Linked DNA regions of Caenorhabditis elegans. The protein of the gene in region 1 interacts with the protein of each later gene in a pairwise test. Each region holds a gene or a part of one and is shown on either strand. Other genes may lie near its edges.

The links.
Region 2: the proteins of unc-116 (region 1) and add-1 interact in a two-hybrid assay, tested with the Caenorhabditis elegans proteins (one large-scale study listed by BioGRID).

Annotation. Positions count from the first base shown.
Region 1 is NC_003281.10:8,350,483-8,357,165, reverse strand, and holds unc-116 (Kinesin heavy chain), read left to right. Parts: upstream 1-1,991; 5' UTR 1,992-2,070; coding exon 2,071-2,109; intron 2,110-2,156; coding exon 2,157-2,252; intron 2,253-2,425; coding exon 2,426-2,587; intron 2,588-2,820; coding exon 2,821-3,118; intron 3,119-3,166; coding exon 3,167-3,396; intron 3,397-3,443; coding exon 3,444-4,769; intron 4,770-4,819; coding exon 4,820-5,111; intron 5,112-5,354; coding exon 5,355-5,359; 3' UTR 5,360-6,002; downstream 6,003-6,683. Other genes in the region: Putative RNA-binding protein R05D3.8, read left to right, coding at 1-179; R05D3.6 (Putative ATP synthase subunit epsilon, mitochondrial), read left to right, coding at 6,361-6,441, 6,664-6,683. UniProt on the Caenorhabditis elegans protein: Microtubule-dependent motor protein required for organelle transport. Plays a role in endosome transport. Required for the transport of mitochondria along the axon of motor neurons. Involved in the nuclear migration of hyp7 hypodermal precursor cells.
Region 2 is NC_003284.9:4,853,929-4,862,052, reverse strand, and holds add-1 (Adducin-related protein 1), read left to right. Parts: upstream 1-2,009; 5' UTR 2,010-2,016; coding exon 2,017-2,115; intron 2,116-2,351; coding exon 2,352-2,444; intron 2,445-2,517; coding exon 2,518-2,626; intron 2,627-2,948; coding exon 2,949-3,091; intron 3,092-3,210; exon of another isoform or gene 3,211-3,360; intron 3,361-3,486; coding exon 3,487-3,630; intron 3,631-3,678; coding exon 3,679-3,846; intron 3,847-4,192; coding exon 4,193-4,252; intron 4,253-4,309; coding exon 4,310-4,408; intron 4,409-4,712; coding exon 4,713-4,797; intron 4,798-4,852; coding exon 4,853-4,938; intron 4,939-4,999; coding exon 5,000-5,272; intron 5,273-5,816; coding exon 5,817-6,029; intron 6,030-6,078; coding exon 6,079-6,337; intron 6,338-6,631; coding exon 6,632-6,733; intron 6,734-6,841; coding exon 6,842-6,901; intron 6,902-6,997; coding exon 6,998-7,087; coding exon of another isoform or gene 7,088-7,161; intron 7,162-7,179; coding exon 7,180-7,223; intron 7,224-7,578; coding exon 7,579-7,650; and 4 more. UniProt on the Caenorhabditis elegans protein: Membrane-cytoskeleton-associated protein that promotes the assembly of the spectrin-actin network. Plays a role in time-dependent memmory loss and the retention of conditioned behavior over time.

The DNA.
Region 1 (6,683 bases):
CTCCAAATCACACTGCTTATCTAACGCCGTCACGTCCCGTAACTTCTGTACATGCCTCATCATCTGCTTCATCAAATCACTATGATCCATCTGCAGCAGCAGGATATGCACCACTATATCATCAACCACCAGAATCAGATCCATTGTCTCAATGTGGCTATGGACCGAGAAAATGGTAGCTGTGATGATCAAACAAAACTCATATATCTCAAATTACGGTTTCACTTAATTCGAAGTTTACGAACATTGATTTTAAAAAATAAAATTGATTTATCTTCGAAGTTTCATTCTCTCGTAACTTCCTTTATTCTCTACTAGTGAGCGCAGTGAGCGAATGTTCTGTGAGTGTTTGAAGAGGCCGTCCGTTGTCCCTCTGACCGAGAATAAAACATTATACAAAATGAAGAGAACACAGGGAACCACGGATGTATCTCTGTGTCTCTTCACGATGCCAATACATTCCTTGTATCCCTTCGAATTTCTTTCTCCAACTCTTTCTACCACCCAATACTAAAGTCTTCCCTCGTCTCTTTTCCCGCCAAACGAATGAATGTTGTGAGTGTGTCTCTCCTCTCGTTTCACTCTTTTTCAATGAAGCTTTTGCACCGACCATCCTCTAGGTCCCACCACGAAAATCTACTGAACACAATACTCCCACCTGCAGTGTCTTTTCTCTCTTATCGTTCTTTTTCGCATCCGAATCGGTCTCCCCCGCCTTCCTTCACCATCTGCCGTATCGTGTCGTATTGGCCATTACTCATTGTCAATTTGATGACCATATTTGGTTTGAGTCTCCTTATTTGCCCTCGGATATCCTCATCTTGTTTAGTTTGTGTATTTATCTATGAAATTTATTTAAAACCGCATTTATCCATATGTTATTGCATAATATTGAAGCTAATATTCATTCCGAAAAGTTAAGAGACAAGTATCGTGGAGAAATGTTAGTTTTTGGATTTGCGATTTCAGTTTCACTTTGTCTTTCTTGTCACTCAGTAAACCCGTTCAGAATATACCCAGATTTAAACCAAATTAAAACCGTACAAGCCTATATTATGAAAAATTCTAATTTTGGGCAGATGTAAACCAAGATTGTCTAGATCCAAACTTAATTTGCATAGATTGCAAGTTTGAGTAGATGTAAACTGAATTTGTGTAGGTTTGTGTATTTCCAAATCGATTTTGTGTAGATCCAAACCAAATTTGTGCAGATAAATTCACAATATAGGCTTGTACGGTTTTAATTTGGTTTAAATCTGGGTATATTATGAACGGGTTTACTGAGCACTGCTGGATGGTGTTAATTTTATAGTATAAAATTTTGAAAATGTACGAGATTTTGCAAGTTGTTTTTAATTTTTAATTCTCGCGCATATACATAAAATGTCAAATATAAATAAGTAATTAAATAAGCATTGCTGAAAAAAAAAAGAAAACTGAAATTAAAAATTAATCTGACCGAAAATACGATAGGCAAACGTACGTAATTCGAAAAACCCAAGATTTCACGACAAATTGCCAACTAAAACATTTTTCCGCGCGGGAAAAACTTTTATTGTTTCCAGAAGTTTCCTGTTGTTTTGAAGCTATTATTTCAATTATAAAACATTTTCCGAACTCATTTTTCGAACAATTTAACCAAAAATGCATAAATTTGTGAAATTTGTGTGTGCCACGTTTGATCGACGCCAGTCTTTTTCTATTTCTCTATTTTCTGTGTGAAAATTTTGAATATTCAGTACAAACGTTGCAGTTTTTGTTATTTTGTTATCATTCCGTTGTCTATCCATAATCTATGAGCCTTTAGTTTATTTTTTGTCAAAGCCGCCCAATCAAACAAAACTCGCAGCTTCTGTGCATCGCGCACGAGACGAGTGATGAAATATTCCGAAATTTCGCAATGTTTTGCCGTTTCCTCCTTTCTCTATTTCTCTTGCATCTCGTCATCTTTTCTTGTTCTCTACTCAGCATATTGATTATACTTATTGCAGGCATTGTAAGGAGAAGCCGGGTAATTAATACGATAGGCGCCGTTACAAACCGCCAACTGGTGATCATTATTCTCTGAAAATGGAGCCGCGGACAGACGGAGCAGAATGCGGTGTCCAGGTATTAATTTTCCCCGCCTAGATTTTCCAATTTCATATTGTTTTCAGGTATTTTGTCGTATTCGGCCGCTCAATAAGACCGAGGAGAAGAATGCGGACCGTTTCCTGCCCAAATTCCCTTCCGAGGACAGTATATCGCTTGGGGTGAGTAATACAAAGGGGTCATAGGGAACAATTATGTCAACAGGGACGGGAAGCACGGGGGATGCAGGTGTGTCAATTCTCTCACATGACACATTCATCTGTTTGAAAAGTACACGAAAAGTGCAAAGTTGAATATATATATATATATCGATTGATTTGTTGGAATTTTTCAGGGAAAAGTATACGTGTTCGATAAAGTGTTCAAGCCGAACACCACGCAAGAGCAAGTGTACAAAGGAGCCGCTTATCACATCGTACAGGATGTATTATCCGGTTATAATGGAACAGTTTTTGCATATGGACAAACATCTTCCGGAAAAACACATACAATGGAGGTAGGAATTATGAAAACCTTGATAATTACGTAGAATGCGACAAAGACAATCAAGTTGTAATATCAACAGTGCAAATCTTTACTGATTAATGAAAAGAAAAGTTTGAGAACTAATTTTCAGCAGTTATTTCCGAAATCGAATGCCCGAAAGATTTTTGATAATTTTTACGTTTAAAATATTCGGCGCTCGATGAAATTAACAATATAATTTAATTATTTTCATATTTTTTACAGGGAGTAATCGGTGATAATGGCTTGTCGGGAATCATTCCACGTATCGTTGCTGACATCTTTAACCACATTTATAGTATGGACGAGAATCTTCAATTTCACATCAAAGTGTCCTATTATGAAATTTACAACGAGAAGATTCGAGATTTATTAGACCCCGAGAAGGTCAATTTGTCCATTCATGAAGATAAAAATCGAGTGCCATACGTGAAGGGAGCCACCGAACGGTTTGTTGGAGGACCCGATGAGGTTCTTCAGGCAATCGAAGATGGAAAATCCAACAGAATGGTTGCAGTTACGAGTGAGTAAACTTAAAATTAAACAAATTAACATGTGAACGAAATTTCAGACATGAACGAACATTCTTCTCGATCTCATTCCGTCTTCTTGATTACTGTGAAACAAGAACATCAGACAACAAAGAAACAGCTCACCGGAAAGCTTTATCTTGTTGATTTGGCTGGTTCTGAGAAAGTGAGCAAAACTGGAGCTCAAGGAACAGTTTTAGAAGAAGCCAAAAACATCAACAAGTCACTTACTGCACTCGGAATAGTTATTTCAGCATTGGCTGAAGGAACTGTGAGTTGTTTAAATTATGACCTTCTTAAAACGAATATTTATTTCAGAAATCTCATGTTCCATATCGTGATTCCAAACTGACTCGTATTCTTCAAGAATCTCTAGGAGGAAATTCCCGTACTACAGTTATTATTTGTGCTTCTCCGTCACATTTCAACGAAGCTGAAACTAAATCCACACTTTTGTTCGGAGCACGTGCGAAGACTATCAAGAATGTTGTACAAATCAACGAAGAGCTCACAGCAGAAGAATGGAAACGGCGATATGAGAAAGAAAAAGAGAAGAATACTCGATTGGCCGCCCTTCTCCAGGCAGCGGCTTTGGAACTTTCACGCTGGCGTGCTGGAGAATCAGTGTCTGAGGTTGAATGGGTCAATCTATCAGATTCTGCTCAAATGGCTGTGTCGGAAGTTTCTGGTGGGTCGACTCCACTCATGGAACGTTCGATTGCTCCAGCTCCTCCAATGCTAACTTCTACAACTGGCCCGATCACTGACGAAGAGAAGAAGAAGTACGAAGAGGAACGTGTCAAACTGTATCAGCAACTCGACGAGAAAGATGATGAGATTCAAAAAGTTTCGCAAGAGCTTGAGAAGCTTAGACAACAAGTTCTTCTCCAAGAAGAAGCTTTGGGAACTATGCGTGAAAACGAGGAGCTGATCCGTGAAGAGAACAACCGATTCCAAAAAGAAGCTGAAGACAAGCAGCAAGAAGGAAAGGAAATGATGACAGCTCTGGAAGAGATTGCTGTCAACTTGGATGTTCGACAAGCAGAATGCGAAAAATTGAAGAGAGAGTTGGAAGTTGTTCAAGAAGATAACCAGAGTTTGGAAGATCGAATGAACCAAGCAACATCACTCCTCAATGCTCATCTTGACGAATGTGGTCCAAAAATCCGTCATTTCAAAGAAGGAATCTACAATGTTATTCGTGAATTCAACATTGCTGACATTGCCTCTCAAAATGATCAACTTCCTGATCACGATCTTCTGAACCATGTCAGAATCGGAGTTTCAAAACTCTTCTCAGAATACTCTGCTGCGAAAGAGAGCAGTACAGCTGCCGAGCATGATGCTGAAGCGAAACTTGCAGCTGATGTTGCTCGTGTTGAATCTGGTCAAGACGCGGGTAGAATGAAACAATTGCTGGTGAAGGATCAGGCGGCAAAGGAGATCAAGCCACTAACAGATCGTGTCAATATGGAGCTTACAACGTTGAAGAATTTGAAAAAGGAGTTCATGAGAGTACTTGTTGCTCGATGCCAAGCCAATCAAGACACCGAGGGAGAAGATTCTCTCAGTGGACCAGCTCAAAAGCAACGAATTCAGTTCTTGGAGAACAATTTGGACAAGTTGACGAAGGTTCACAAGCAGGTTTGTCGTTTTTATTCTCATTTTGATTATCTTAAAACTTGAATTTTCAGCTTGTTCGCGACAATGCCGATTTGCGCGTTGAACTGCCAAAGATGGAAGCTCGTCTTCGTGGTCGTGAAGATCGCATCAAAATATTAGAAACTGCTCTTCGTGATTCGAAGCAACGTAGTCAAGCAGAACGAAAGAAGTATCAACAAGAAGTTGAACGAATCAAGGAAGCTGTTCGACAACGTAACATGCGACGAATGAATGCTCCACAAATTGTGAAGCCAATCCGTCCAGGACAAGTGTATACGTCTCCGTCAGCAGGAATGTCACAAGGAGCTCCAAATGGCTCAAACGGTGTGTTTAGTCAGACATCTACACCTTCAACATCTCGCAATCAGATACCATCAAAAATGACTATTTCACAGTTGATTGCAGAAATTTAAGATTTTTTTAAAAATTCTTTAGTGCTCATGTAATTTTTCACAAGTAATTATACTATGAATTAGAATTAGAGTGAGTGTTTCTTTTTCTTCCTACCGTATTATCAAATTTAACAGTCTTTTGTCCGTCCATTTTTCACTAATCAAAGTTTTTCAGCATAATGTCTCCCAACAACAACATCAACTCATCGTCTTCTTTGATCCAATCAATACACTGAAGACTGACATTCAAATGCTTCTCTATCTCTCTTCTTTTCCCGGCTTTGTGATATACTTTCGATGGGCTTTTCTGTTTATTTTAAAATCTAGTAACTTATACAATTACGCGGCTTCTGGAAGTTTCAACAAAAATATCTTCATTTGGTTGGTTGTGTCTCCCCATTTCGTTCCTTGGCTTCTCGTCTTCCATGTAGAATACAAAACTTCAAAAGCTAAAAGTATTTAAAGCTTCCCTCCACCCCCACCCAAATTGCCTTTTTCCGCCTTTTTGTTCTAATAGTCTGTTTCTATACGATTTTCCTGTTTCAGTTTTACTAATCTGACACGAGGTTTTGTCTGGTTCTTCCCCCCGTCACCCACCAACACTCCTATGATTGTTTTTTGCATGCGTTTGAGTGTCTTTAAAGCTTGCTTGCTAAATCCCCCTATCATTCTTCATAAGAAATCAACTTGTTTCGTTTCTGCACAATTCGGCCCCCAAATCCCCGCACATCCCAATTGCGTAATTCATTTTTTTGTATCTTTTGCTCTTCCAGTAAATAAAATTATTATTTTTTCTGTTATTAAATAAACGTTTTGCTGTTTTTTAAACAAGATTTTACAATAACATACGAGCAAGAATAACCAACAAACGCATGAGCTTAACTGATTAGTGTTCTGGAGTGAGAATATCATTGAAAACTATGAGAAATAAGTTTAATGTAATTAAATATTTATTGATAGTTTTGTTTCCATTTTGGACCAACTAATTATTATTCAGTAACTTTCGAATATTATCAAGTTTCCTGTTGAACTTTGACTGTATAAAGTTTTTATTTTTTATTTTACAGATTTCTCTAGTCTAAAGGTTGTTCTCCATACCTTTCAATTTACTTCCTTTTTCTGAAAATTTTATTATTTTATAGTATAAATTAAGGTTAAATAACTTTCCCCCAAAATCAAAAATGGTCGCCTGGAGAGCTGCTGGACTCAACTACGTCCGTTATTCACAAATCGCCGCACAAGTCGTTCGTCAGTGCACCAAGGTTTGTTGGACCCTTAAATAACAATATATGCCCCTTTAAGTGGTACAGTAACCCGTTCCGTTAATTTTCTGTTTATCATTTTTCAAGTTATAACCTATAGGTTTCAATTAAGTAATATGTTTCTGAAAATTACCGGTAATTAATTACTGGGCTCCTAAAGGTTCACACATTTTTGTCCCACATCAAAGTATGAAAAATCGCAAAAATTATCAAAAATTACAGGGAGGCGCCAACGTGAAGAA
Region 2 (8,124 bases), on another chromosome or scaffold:
ATCGATTCTTTTTCTCAGCGTTCTCTGACTTCCTATTTGATTATTTGGTTTTCCACGCAAAACTGAATTCAAAAATCATATCACTGTTGTTGAGCTTTTGTTTTGAATAGCAAACAGTTTAGCTTTCGAAATTCGGTGTTTTCAATGAACCGTAAGGCGTGTTTCGTCTTTTCTCCAAGCCAAAAGATACACAACAAATGAACACTGCCTTTTTGAGTCTCCAGAAACCGATAGACAACCTTGATTTGAATAAAGATTCTGTTTCGCTCAATTGACAGCAGCGATCTTTTTTCAATTCTTTCGTTTTTCTCACTTTCTATTTACTTCCCTAACTTTTCTCAATAAAAGTCTCCAAGAAGGGTAATTGATTCAAGGTGAGGAAAAAGGGCGAGAGATACATGTTTTGTTTTCCTGTTTTCTCCACTTGTTCTTTTTATCAGATCTATTTAATCAAAAAGGTTAAAACAAATAGTTTGTTTTACTATCGTCACCATAGGTGTGTGTGCGTGTGTGTTTGATATAAGATTTAATCGCAATTCGGCATGTTTCTTCTATTGTTGCCGCATTGGTTAAACACCAGTTTGGGGTTTTTTTGGAAGAGTATTTCAAGTTTCTGAAAGTTAAAGCATTTCAAATTTCAGACTAAGAATTTTACAGTAAGTGGTATTATAAATAATTGCATTGACCGCAAATTATTGAAAAAGCTTAGAATTTTTAAATAGAAATATTGTTTCAGCATTTCGTAGTAGTGCTGCAATATTATCTTATCGGAATAATTAATCTGAAAAGTTCAAACCGATTTTTAAATTTTGACAAATTTATTTTGAGTTATAAAACTCTGTTTGCGGAAAAATGGTTACTTTCCCAAAAAGTAATGAAATCTCACAAAACTAATTGGCCTAGCTCAATTCGAAAATTTCCACTTCCATTTTGCTTCACCGTTCTTTTTCATTTGAGCCACCCTACTTGTGCACCACTCGGACAAGTGCATTCTATTTATTCCATTTTCTTTTCATTGTGATTAACCATCCTGAATAAAATGTCTTGGGTTTTCTGCTCGGCGCCTCTTTCTATCTTTCTCCAAAATAGAGTACATGTAGACTTGAGTTTCTTTTCGGTCTTCCTTTTCTTCCCTCATTCCTTAAATTAGATTTGACATAAGAAGAACTTTATCGCAACAGGCGGATACCTTAAGGTTCTCATTCTTGTTTGCCGTTTATCGCTTCCATCGCAGACAAAAGTAGTGTGTTGGAGAATTTGACTGACGCAAAAACCACAAACATTTTAGGGTCAAATTCACATTTCCAATTAATATTTTTCAATATTACCGTTTGCCATGCTTCATAGGTAATTAGATGTATACACTTTCTCATGGCAAGTGTGCCACCCGTAGAGCAAATGTTATATAACGCAGGAGGTATGCAATAACCAAATTTTGTATACAAATCAGATGGCTCGCCATCGAATAGTCTCACGCTGAATGAACTATTTTTCGATCAATTCATGCTTTTTAGTACAGCTTTGTGTAAGCTGTGTGCTAGTAGAAATGTCAAATTATTTTCATGAAATTGTATACATCCGATTTAGCATATCTTAAAAAATCCTTATTTGTAAATACAGTTTCCGATAACTTGTGAACCCTTTTTTACTTAATTTGATATTTCAATCTTTAGTAAGTTCAACTGTTAACACCTTTATAACAGTTTTTCATCTTGAAAAAATGTCTAAAAATTTGACAAACAGAAATTTAACGTTAAAAGACCAATAATGAAACAGGAAAACAAGACAATATCAAAAGTAGGCCATCCATTTGCGCGGGAATTTAAACATAATTCAGAAAATCATCGCACATTTAGAATAATTTTATTATTTTTATTTTTAAATTCATATTTGTACACTACATCCCATTTTCATATTTGCAAAGTAATGTTTACTTTTCTAAACTTTGTGATTTTTTCTTGAATTTCAATATTTCAATCTCATTTTCAATTTTCTTAAACTTCAATAAAGTTTCAGATGATTGGAAGAAAAGAGAAGGAACGGGAACGTCCATACTATCGAGACCCAGATGACCCTGAATATATCAAAGATTTGCAAAGACCGGCAGTAATCAAAGTAAGTGCTGCTCCAAGTTTTTCCGTAAAAAAAACTAGAGCACATCAAGTTTTCCCTCCTCAGCTCTCTTTTTTCTCTTTTTCCAAGAACTTCAATTAATGAAACCTGCCATTATTAGCGCAGTGTCATTTTTTGAAAAGACTTGGGAAATTGAATGGAAAATGCAAGAGAAGAAGAGAAAGGAGTGCTCGCTCTTTAATCAGCTTAAAAGATGGATGAGAAATGCTCTATTTTAGGAGGATTTGTCAGAGATGGAGAGACGGAAAAGAGTGCAACAGATACTTGAATCAAAATCATTCTGCCACGAGCTAGAAGAAGTTATTCGTCAGGTTTGTAATTTGTCTTTTTTCTCGTTATTTTGTTTCAATAAATGTAATTTTGTACAAAACATTTTACATCTAGGAGTGTGATACAGCACGTACGGATCCGGATCACTTGCAAGTACTCCAGAAACTTTCGGACCTCACAGTTCCACAAGGAAACATGTCGTTTGGCAACCTTCACACATATGGTTTGTATTATATTTTGGAATAATGTATTCGAAAAACGGATAACTTGGTTTTTTTTCCTTATTTTGACAAAAGAAACTCGATTTATGCTTATTCACACGAGGAGTTACAACATGTTATAATGCAGAAAACTTTCCTATACGAATTTTAGCTATGCTGAAACCTTGTGACACAAAAGTAGATATACTTTTTTTGTTTTTCTAGTAAAGTATTATAATATCAAAAATCTAAGATTCCCATGCATAAACAAAATTGCAATATTTTTACAAACTTGAACTTCTGTAAGTTGACAATTTCCGATAAATCATGTAATCTATGTTTCAGGTGGAAACACCATTGCAATTGCTGATCTTCGTGGAAACGAGAAGTATTCAAAAGCGGAACGTATCCAGAGAAACAAATTGGCATGCTTGTTTCGACTAGCTGACCTGTTCCAGTGGTCACAAGGGATTCATAACGAAATCTCGGTAGGGTGCTTGAAGTATTGACTTTTTAAAATTACCACAAAAATTTAAAACTTGAACCTGTGGTTTAAAGTAAAATTTTGCAATCAACCAAATTTATTTTACAATATAGCAAATACAACGCGTGTAGAAATTGTATGAATTTCAACTTTATTAAAATACGAAACTTCTGAAACAGCTGCCAAAATGTAAGGATTAATCAGCTTTAAATTGGGATTTTTTTTGTTCAGTGTTGTGTTCCGGTTACACACCACTTTATTTTCCGACGTGAGTTAACTAGCAGGTCCATTAACGACGTGTTTAAAAAAATGTATTAAAATTATATTTCTATGAAACTTCTACAAAAGTAAAAACACCATATTTACCTTTCTAGAAGAATTTTAACAAAATTGATTTAGTATCGAACCAACGATGAGGATAACACTTTTCTGATGAATCCATTTGGTCTTCTCTACCATGAAATCACTGCTGCGACCATCGTGAAGATAGATGAAAATGGAAAAATTCTGGATTGCGGGACACTGAAAGCTGGAGTCAACCAGGTACCTTTAAAATCAAAAACGACTTATTTTTGCACTCATCAAGTTAAGCCTGCGTTTCTTCTTCATTCTGCAATTTACAAAGCTCACCCAATGGTCAGATGCATTCTTCATATGCACACGGCAATTGTGGCGGCTGTGGCTAGTATGAAATGTGGTTTATTGCCTCTATGTAAGGAAGCAATGGTGCTTGGGCCAGTTGGATATCACGATTATCAGGTTAGCAAAAATATTGAATTTGAAGAAAAACAATCACTTGTGTGGTTATTTTCATAATCTGAAAAATTTAAGTGTGAACGAGAGAAAATTGAAAATCTGAAGGTTAAAGAAACTAGAAGCAAAATCGGCAACCGTTTTTTAAAATTATTTTTTGATGATTTTTTTCCAGTCAAAGTTTTGGTACTTTGCCAAAATTTGAAAAAGTTTATCATGTAAATCGGTAGTTTTAGTACTTAAAGTAGATATAGAAAAGTTCATCGTCGACCTTCGAACGGTTTAAATTTTCATTAACCTTTCACATGACTTTAACTATAAAATCAAAAAAATTGTTGAATTTTCTTTTCAGGACATTGGTGATGATGATATTCAATTTGACGAAATTATTGCAAATCTTGGAGACAAAAACGTGCGTTAGCTTTACTTTGAACTGCTTTTCTATCCGCTTTTCTATGCTTCGTTTCAGGTCCTTTTCCTCCGCAATCAAGGATTCCTTGTTGTCGGTGACACTATCGAGCATGCCACTTTTCTAGCCAACAACACTGTGATAGCATGCGAAACTCAGGTTTTTGAAGTTTCTCATATTTAAAAATTACACGCTGCCCTGCCGCCAGTAGTTCAATTCTATCGCCAAATGCTTATTTTTTATGAAATGACGATGGGATTAAAACATTTAAGGTTCTGCTGATCAGAGGAGAAGGATGTTTTGTTGTTGGAAATTCCGTTGAAGAGACATCTATAATTATGCGCAACTTAGTCACTGCTTGTGACCATCAGGTTTAGAAAAGTTATAATAAATGAGAAATATTATTTCATATCAAATACAAAATACATAATCAAAGTTTCCAAAAACAAAATATTTTTGTAAGGTACGTGCCGCAAGGGCTGGACTTGACAACCTCATCATTCCGGAAGAGAAAGCAATACAAAGAGCGTTCAGAAATTCTCGAAATAGTAAGATTCTGCAATATATATTGAAATTTAAAATACATCTATAATGCTTTTGTAGCGAATTCCCTGAAACGAAATGGAACAGTTGATTGGAGAGTCGGAGAATTAGAATGGGAGTCTTGGATGAGAGTGTTGGATCATGCGGTGAGCAGAATTTTTTCGCCCTGCTCACAGTTGTTTCACTAAAAATTGCTACTAATTATAGAATTTTCAAACCGGGCACGTCTATCGTCAACCACAACTGCGGCCCAAATCTGCAATGTCTACGTCAATGGTGAACAACAATGATGTTGCTGTTCCGCCAACTACATCAGCTTATGGACAAATTGATGAAACAAACTTGGAAAGTGTATCTGCACATCGTCTGGCTTTACTGCGCAAGGAGCAGGAGCGGGTTCGTTGGATGAACAGTCCAAATGCATATCAGAAGGTTGAATTTTTGGAGTATGGAGCAGATAACCCAAAGAAGATAACTAAAGTAAGAACTGTTTTCAACTTTTGCAGTACGAAAATAAAATTTGTACATGAACTTCTGATGGTTTGTGTCATTATGTTTACACAGTTATTTTCATATAAATGTACAAAAAAATTTGAAGAAACATTAAATTAAAAACTATAAACAGAGATTTGAAAACCCAAATAGCTATGATATGGGTGGGCCCTACTAGTGAATTTTTGTTTTGGATAATTTCTATGTCACTAATTTTTGGATTGTTGTCATTATGCACATTATGAATACATGTTATGCTAACGCAATAAAAAAATGTATTTTTCAATATTGGAGTAGTGTCAGAAAATGTTCAAAATTGCTCCAATACCAACTATCGATTCAGGCTGTGCCTAATTGTGTTTTGAAAATTTTGATCCGCAATAAAAATATGTATTAAAGTTTTTTGAGAAGTCTCATTATAAAATTCGGTCGCATTTGGTTATTGAGTTCAAATTAAACATCTATGATAAATCATTGGAGAAAAAATTAATTTTAAAGTGTTTTAAATTTACACAAGTTCAAATCATTTCAGTGGGTTCATGACGTCAACGTTCCATCCGCGAGTGGAACCCCTGTCAAAATCAGCAGTGTTCATCAATTCAGTCCTGCGTCTTCAAATCCTAAAGAATTTAAAGAAAAACAAAAAGCTATCAAAGAAAACAACAGACTGGGAACTCTTTCTGCTGGACCACAAAGCCAGATTTTGGACAGTGTGACATATGAAGACATTGCACTATTGATTAAAGTGAAATATCCCGTCTTGAAAATTCATTTATTATTTTGTAATCTTTCAGCCTGATAATGACGGAACAGTCGGACAGAGCTCGACCGCTGACCGAGCAATACTTATCGGAACTGCCAGCAAGGGAATCATTGATAGGCAATTTCAGCATCATGCTCAGGTGTACCACCAAATCTATGCGCCGAATCCATTCTCTGTAGAAACTGATGCAGACATCAAGAAATATGTAGACATGGTGAAGGCCAAGAACTCGCAAAGCGCTCCTGTCTCAGCGAGAAGTGGTTACTCTCAATACGATGAGGTTGAAGCTGGTAAGGTAGCTGAAACAAAAAAACAGCAATTTTTAAAGTCGTTTTTGAAAACGAAAACTGAAATTCCTTTATTTAAAACGTAATAAAATAAAATAAACACTGCAAAAAATCCATGTTGTGTTGCGAGTTTTTAACTGAAAATCTGGGGTTCAAAACACTTGTGGGATGCCACTTGTTTTGAGTATGTTCTTTTTGGCTCCACTTACAAAATATATTTTTGAAAATATATTGCTGACAAAGGTCTAAAAATAGCTTCTCTAGTTGTAACCAGCCGATTTTCAAAAATTATTCCAGATACAGTTTCCTTAATGCAAGGAGTACGAGAACATAAACTTTCTCAAGCGGCTCTGAGCGCATCTGACGACGGCCTGAATGCCGGAATCTCCCCGAATAATGGTAATTTTTATGTGGTTGCTCCTTCACATTTTATCGATGCGCCTGTTTTCTATCGCTTTGTTTTCCAGTGTTTTAAATTATTTGAATGCCTATTTTCCATATTTCCAGTCCGAACTTCCGAAGAAAGCGTCAATACGTCGTACATGAGCCAGTCAGTTGTGTTCGATTGTAGGTTTATTTTCCTTATTCTTTCTGTGTAGCATGTGTGTGGTGGCTTCAAAGCTTTTTATAACTTTCACAGATTTTCTAACTCTTTGTGTACAGGCGATCACCCTTCTCCGATGTCAATTTCGACAGAGTACCCTGAAAAAGTTAAAATGACGCGATTTTCGTCGACTCAAGGAACAAGTGAAGGTATATTTGTAACTACGTGGTGTCTATTTGTGTTTTCACTTTTTTTTCGAGCGCATCAGCTAACTAATCAATAACTGAGTTGTAACATTTAGGCAATACAACGTCTCGATCGTGCACTACAGCGTCTGAAGAAGAAGTAAGAATTTTTGGAAGCAAATAGTTTTTCAAATGTTTCAAACTTAAAAAAGAATGAGGTTTCTTGCCATAAATAACAGAAAAACTATAAAGTAATATATTAAATTTTTAATAATGTTTTTTTTCAAATTAGAAGTTTTTTTTTGATATTTTAACAATTTCTGAAAAATTTTAAAAAAATTCAATGAAAAAATTAAACTTTTTACAGTTGTATTCTCTATATATAAACTGTTTTCTGTTATTTTGGGCAAAACCCCACTGACTCTACTCTACCTTCAAATAAGATTGAAATATTTGCTAACTTCTCTGCTTTTGGGACTAATCAAGCACTTATTTTACACCGTTTTTTATTTCAGAAGCCTACAAAAGATGAGAAAAAGAAGAAAAAGAAAGGATTTTTGTCATTTATGCGAAAAAAGGACAAATGAAAAATGAGAGTTTTGCTCTCACCTTGCTCTCACCAACACGTTCACATCACTTAACTCTAACACTTTTCGATAACTTTTTCTATGTTTTCTTTTCAATTTTCAGATCCGGATATACTACGCCCAATTTACCGTCAAGAAACATATGTCTAGTCTCTGGACTTTTCTTTCTTTCCCGTGAACTTTCAATTCCGGTTATGGATAATAGCAACACTCTGTGCTTTGTCTTTTGTTTTTCGAATATTTTTAAAATGTCATTTTGTACGCATATTTTTTTTATATTATGTATTTGCATTTCCATCAAGTTTTTTATACTTTCATCTATAAATAATTATATTATATTACAAAAAAAAGCCAGGACAGAGAAGAATTCGGCAAAGTGACTACGAAAATAGCTTTTCTCAACGAATTTAGCAGATTAAAAAAGTTATCCAGTTTATTTTTGGTTGTTGCTATAAAACTCAAAGTGCTCGTTTT